2 linked regions of the Danio rerio genome follow. The protein of the gene in region 2 purifies or fractionates together with the protein of the main gene of each other region. This does not show direct contact. Links are inferred from orthologs where the notes say so. Each region holds a gene or a part of one and is shown on either strand. Other genes may lie near its edges.

The links. The genes of interacting proteins can lie anywhere in the genome.
Region 1: the proteins of snx4 (region 2) and snx7 purify together in Homo sapiens (affinity purification with mass spectrometry; 3 studies listed by BioGRID and IntAct, counting the BioPlex papers as one, with this or other methods). This does not show direct contact. The link is inferred for Danio rerio from reciprocal best matches to the Homo sapiens genes SNX4 and SNX7.

What each region holds. Positions count from the first base shown.
Region 1 is NC_133199.1:34,406,010-34,409,534, forward strand, and holds part of snx7 (sorting nexin-7), read right to left. Parts: intron 3,073-3,525; coding exon 2,881-3,072; intron 2,795-2,880; coding exon 2,684-2,794; intron 2,202-2,683; coding exon 2,037-2,201; intron 1-2,036. UniProt on the Homo sapiens protein: Involved in the regulation of endocytosis and in several stages of intracellular trafficking. Together with SNX4, involved in autophagosome assembly by regulating trafficking and recycling of phospholipid scramblase ATG9A.
Region 2 is NC_133184.1:40,310,868-40,314,392, reverse strand, and holds part of snx4 (sorting nexin-4), read right to left. Parts: intron 1,695-3,525; coding exon 1,556-1,694; intron 1,467-1,555; coding exon 1,317-1,466; exon of another isoform or gene 987-1,316; coding exon of another isoform or gene 984-986; intron 1-983. UniProt on the Homo sapiens protein: Involved in the regulation of endocytosis and in several stages of intracellular trafficking. Plays a role in recycling endocytosed transferrin receptor and prevent its degradation.

The DNA of each region.
Region 1 (3,525 bases), on a different chromosome or scaffold from region 2:
GACACATATAACTTATCGTTTGCATACGTCATCTTATTAGTAATAACAGTCTTTTCATGAGCTGCAATATTTGTTTAATCTCAGTGAATGCATGCTCTTTTGCAACGGTGAACGCATGACTGACAGCATCGTGACGATTAAATGAAGGATTAACGTTAATGTTAAAACATCTCGTAGCTTAAAATGTGTAGATGTGGCAAACACTAAAACCTGCAAACTCCATCACACCGGCTTTACGGTGAATGTTTTAGTCATTTTCATAGCAGACATTAACCCACTGGAAGTCTTTTATCCATTCTTCGAAAAGTGTAAATGGTGAATTGTTCATCACATGATAACAAGTTACAATAATGGCACATCTTATTAGTGGTTTCTAAAAAAAATCTGAAAATGTTATTTTCATTCTCTATTATCAAGACCTTTACATTTTCGCGGCTGTAGCTCTCTATCATCTAAACTGAGTGATTAACAGCTGGCATTAACCGATCCGTTCGCATACTGTTCTATAGCAGTGGGCCAATAGGAAAAGCTTGAAAGCGGGGCAAGCATTGAGGGATTGGTTTACTGCAGCAAATAGACATGTCAACTTTTAAACCATTCCTGAACACTGCGTTTGCCTTTTTTTGGTGCAAAAATGCATTCTGCATGCATTTCTTCTAAACACACGCATGTGGTCAACATTTAGCAGTGAAAACAGGTCGCACAGCAACAATTTTATGAGGTTGCATAGATCAAATTTCAGGTGCATATATAACAAAACGGTCACAATTTCGAGCTCTGTGCTGGTTTTCAGGCTAACACAGTAAAGAAATTATTGCTTGTATATTCTTTTGTTTATGTGTTGTCCTTTGATTATGTTGTGTGTGAAACTGACTGATTGGTTTGTTTGCCTTCAGTTTTAACTGTGTTTATAATAAATAAAAATATAGACATCAGTATCTTAGAAGCGTTGACTGTTTTAATGACCAGTGAGTAGTTACTAGTTGACGGTTGGATGGGCGGATGGATAGATGAATAGATATACATAGACTGATAGATGGATGGACGGATAGACAGACAGGTGGACGGATGGATGGATAGATGAATGGACGGAGAGATGGATAGATATAAACAGATGGATAGACTGACAGACAGACGGACAGACAGATAGAGGGACAGACAGACGGATGGATGGATGGACGGAGAGATGGATAGATAAATAGTTATAGATAGACGAATAGACAGAGACGGATGGATGGATAGATAGATAGATGGACGGAGAGACGGATAGATATAGAAAGATGGATAGACGGACAGATAGACGGACAGACAGATAGAGGGACAGATGGATGGATGGATGGATGGATGGATGGATAGATGAATAGTTATAGATAGACGAATAGACAGAGACGGATGGATAGACGGAGAGACGGATAGACGAATAGCCAGACAAAGACAGACAGACAGATGGATGGATGGACGGAGACACGGATAGATAGATAGATAGATAGATAGATAGATAGATAGATAGATAGATAGATAGATAGATAGATAGATAGATAGATAGATAGATAGATAGATAAATAGTTATAGATAGACGAATAGACAGAGACGGATGGATGGATAGATAGATAGATAGATGGACGGAGAGACGGATAGATATAGAAAGATGGATAGACGGACAGATAGACGGACAGACAGATAGAGGGACAGACAGACGGATGGATGGATGGATGGATGGAGAGATGGATAGATGAATAGTTATAGATAGACAAATAGACAGAGACGGATGGATAGACGGAGAGACGGATAGACGAATAGCCAGACAAAGACAGACAGACAGATGGATGGATGGACGGAGACACGGATAGATAGATAGATAGATGGATGGATGGATGGATGGATGGATGGATGGATGGATGGATGGATGGATGGATGGATGGATGGATGGATGGATGGATGGATGGATAGACTGATAGATAGACAGATAGACAGACGGGTGGGCGGATGGACGGAGGGAGAGATGAATGGATAAAAAGAAAAAACAAAAGCCTTACCTCAGATGCAGCTGTGAGAAAGATCTTAAAGTCTTCAGTGCTGGAGAAAATGGGATGTTCTGCTATTCTGTTAAGAAACCTGTGCAGAGCCCTTCTTCTGGTCTCTATGAAATCTTCATTAAACCTCTCCACCATTCCCTTCATCACAAACTTCTCTGGCAGAGGCTGATGGGACACAATCACACGTTAGGGTTTTAAATGCGCAAGTAAAAGCACTACTCATCATCCTCCAGGAACATGGTTGACAACCACTGCTCTAATGTAAGCAGAAAATGGACGTTTTTAAAATATCAGTACCGATTTGTACTGAACCTGATACTTTTGACAACACTAAATTGTACACATGACAGAAATCAAAATTTTTGATTTATTACTAATAAACAGTTCACTAAGTGTTAAGTAAATATCAAAGGGTCTGATAAAGATAATCTACACAACATGAGGAAAAAACCTTAAATATAACACAGAACGGGATAACTAAATTTTTGTGGTTTTAAGACCATGACTTTTCCAAACCGTGGTAAAACTTGAAACCAGTTATCGTCCTATTCCTAAATTTAACCTGGTCATCACAAACTGAAATTTCAGAGAAAAGTTTACATTTAAACACTCCCATACACTTGAATTCTAACTTATATTTAACTCACATGAACAATGAGCGTAGGATGAGCTTCTTCCAGGCGTCCCTTTAACCACAGGAAGTCCTGGTATCGTCTTCGCACCTCAAACTCACTAGAGTCAAACTCGCTCCGTGTGGTCTGTCATGAAGGAGAACGATGGAAAAAGGCGAGAGAATTATTCACAGAAGTCGCTCCTGGTGAATCTGTGTTCAGATCTGCTGTACCTTGGTCATGACCCGGTAGGTGATGTATGTCTCAATGGCAGTCACGTGACTCTCAGGGTTATCGACTGTGACGAAAATATCTTTGGTGCCAACATCTTCCTCTTCTTCCTCAAACTTGTACTGGTTGATCATTGAAGCTGGTGAGGTCTGCATGGAGGCGTTGAAAGAGCTCCCGTCTGTGATAGTCGTATCCTACCCAAAAGCACAAGACATGTACGTAAGCAAACATGAAGGATCATGAACACTAAACAGGGCCAGTGTTTTGACATCAAACAAACAGTTTTTTTTTTTTTTGCAGCCAAATGGACATGATATGGCTTACAGGAAAATATGTTTACAGTAATAGATGAGGAGCAGAAATTTAATAATAATAATAATAATATATAAAATAACACTGCATAGTGTAGATTCTTGCATAAATAATTAAATACAAGTAATTTTGGTTTATCTATCATCATAACATTAAGTTAACAAAAGTTCAGCAGCGGAACCACACCTCAATTTGTCTTCTTAACCAATCACCTACTCCCTAAAACTTATTTAAGGCAGACCAGCCCTCTAGCACTGCTCTCAAACTCTCTCTCTCTCTCTCTCTCTCTCTCTCTCTCCATTTCCTTAATTCCCATTCACAATCCTTATAACCCT
Region 2 (3,525 bases):
AGTTTTACTACTACTATTACATCAAAGATGAAAACCATGTAGCAATCAAGGTTTCCACAAAATGGCAAGAAGAAAATTTCAGTGTTTCAAAATAATATGAGATGTTTCTTAAACACTAAATCAGCATATCATAATGATTTCTGAAGCAGTGTGACGCTGAAGACTGAAGTAAAGCTGAAAATTCAGCTTTATTATAACAAGAATAAGTAACATTTTTATATTTACATTACAAAAAGGAACCAAAAAGACCAAATGTAATATTTTACAACAATGCTCATTCGCTACATGCTTGAGTAAATGCAGCACAAAACACTTTCAAAAACAGTTTTTTTTACAAACACCAAAGTTTTTAACGATTTATGTTGAGTAATCAAGAAATAAATCATCTTTATTAATTCATAAATTCGGCTGCACAGTGGCGCAGTGAATAGCTCTTTTGCCTCACAGCAAGAAAGTCGGTGGTTCGAACCTTGGCTGGGTCAGTAGACTTTTCTGTGGGGAGTTTGCATGTTCTCCCCATGTTGGGGTGAGTTTCCTCCGGTTTCTCCCACAGTCCAAAGACATGTGGTACAGGTGAATTGGGTAAGCTAAATTGTCCGTAGTGTATGTGTGTGAATGAGTGTGTATGGATGTTTCCCAGTGATGGAACATTTCTAATTCTACTAGGCTGTCATTTAATTTTAATAATAATAAAAAAATAAACTAGTTATATTCTACTATATTTCACCTATAATGGAAATAAAAATTACAGATCTACAGATCTTTAACCATAAAACAAAGAGGTCCTATTTTACCATTTTTAAAAGATATAATACAATTTTCAGATGGTCACAGAATACTTAAAACACTAAACATAACATCTGTAGGATTGAGAGGACATTTGAAGATTTTTTATCATGCTCTAACTGCAACATTTCACACTTAAAGAATAAATACACCCTTCACTGAAGGGATAGTTCCCCCAAAAATGAAAATGTACACACCATTTTCTCACCCTCAAGTGGTTCCAAACTTTTCTGCGTTTCTTGTTTTTGCTAAACAAAATAAAACATTTTGAAAAATGTTAGAAACCATTGACTTGCTAATAAATACTATGGGATTCAATGGTTACCAACATTTTTCAAAAGATCTTCCTTTGTGTTCAACAGAAGAAAAAAACTCAAACCGGTTTGTGACAAGTGAAGGGAGAGTAAATGATGACAGGATTTTCATCTGCAAAGTGACTACAAACTAAAGACATTTTAAATGAACTGGTATATTCTTTATACAAGAAGACTACACCCTTTTGTTCATCAGTATAAGCGAGTTATCTCTACCTCAGTGAGAAACAAATAGAAGATATTGTCCCTGGCCAGGACTGGATGTGAAGCCACTCGCAGCAGGAAGTTCTCTAGTCCAACTCGACGCCTCTCCACAAAGTCAGGGTCCATGTTGTCTGCCGAAAGCTTGTGCCAAACAAATTCCGCCTGTTGCACAAAGTATGAGTTACAGTTACAGCATATGAATGCAAATCGCATTTACAATCGGCAGAGGCCAAAGCATCTTGTTTGCATACCCGTTTTTCAGGCAAAGGTGGAACCACCACAAACGGATAAGTGACTAACAAATAGTTTCTAAGGAGCTCAAACTCGCTGTAACGCCTCCAGAGAGAATCTGGGACAGGACTGGTCCCTTCTGATGCAGCATCCACCGGTCTGAAACACAGAGATTAAATCAGTCAGTTGTTTTTGCGTTATTACGAGCAAATTCGTACTTCCGGTTTGAAACAAATTTTTGAAGCTGCGTCACGGCCATAAGATCTTAGCATGTATTCTAGCATGTAGACTGACTGTCTGTGACGTCTCTGAGTGTGCTGCATTCATTCATGAGAAAGACTTGGTTCAAACCAATCAGCGCGCTCTATTGTGTATGCGGTGCAAGTTTATTAATATGCATAGTAACTTCCAAGACTGCTTTTACCTGTACAGTGTTCAGACAGCACAGAGACGCCACGTTGTGTTGCCAAAACAAATGGGAGAAGAAGAATTGTTTGGAGATACGGGTTGTCAGTGTTGCTTTTATAATTTGCTGCAAGGAAGATTTTTGTTTTCATTTTCCCTCTATGAGAGCGCAGCTGGACTCACGTGTGGATTACAGTGCACGCGACAACAATACATGTCTAAGGAACATTTTTTACCCGAGAGCTTTTCTCATCTGGAAATGCTGAAATACGGATTTGCAGCTTGTCTCCTTTAATAAAGACGCGGCCCCAGTTGGTGTTGATTGTCCTGTCTCTACAGATTTGGTAAGTAAGCGATCAGTGGTCTTTGTTTGTTTATTCAAATGGCAAAGTTAGTTCGTATCGTTAGCAGTACTCTTTCAGTGTTTAAAGACAGACCTTAGTCAAATGATTTCTCAGTAAGTTACTAAGTTTACAGTACGTTAATATCACTACAATACTATAGACTGAAAGATCTGCTGTAAATGCTGCTCTCCGAGTGTAAACATGTAAACACTGAAATCAAACTATTACCTTTGTGTAGGATTTTCGTCACATTTTGTGACAGGAATAACACACGGCTTTTTGATGCTACCTACCGAGTGCATCTAAATTACAGAGAAATGCTGAGGGTATCAAACATTAAATTAAAAATACACGCTTACAGCAGTTCATCGAATCAAATATCTCATTTGTCACAAGGGGCATAAATGAAATTCCTGAATGAAAGAGCCAAACAGCAGTTAAAGTCCACCATTTAATAATTAGTCAAATTATTTGATTGCTGATGTCCATGTAAACAGTCACTGTCTTTCTCCTCTGCGTCTGTGTGTTTGTTTTGCAATCAGTGCAAGCCCAAACAGACACTCCCCATTTTTATGCTAATGTTTATGCACCTTCCCTCTTTCCCTCCTCCGACACTCCCCCCTAAACAGAGCTGGACACTCCCACTTTCCTGACTTTTTCCAAACCAGAAGTCTGAAAACACCCTGCTGAAACAGGAGGGTTTTGTGACCCTTGAAAGTAATTTTTTCAGGGTTTTTGCAGGATTCACAAAGTCAAAATTAAGACTTTAAGACCTTTTTATTTAAGACCATTATGAATGAAATTTCAGACTTCTACAGGGCAAAGGCTTAAGGATTTTTTTTTACTTGCCCCATTTAAATTCAATTTCAGTTATTTCTTAGCCATATATTTTAAATTGTGTGCCAAAACAAGCAGTCTAATTATATACATATATTTATTTTATTAGCATAACCTTTCTTTAAAAAAATGTAAGTTTTAAAAACTATGATGAACTTATTTTAATCACAACATACATTTCTGCATAAATGCATGGAGAACTTTAACAAATGAATGTAATGAAGTCAATTTAACCATATTGGTACAGAGAGTAATACATTTTACTTTTATTAGATGGACTGTTGGTTGTACCAATTATGAAGCTTTACATGGACCAAGGAAAATAAACACCCTTTTTGAAAGTATTTAAGACATAAAACACCATTTTTCAGTGAATTTAGGACTTTTTAAGCCCTAAATTTTAG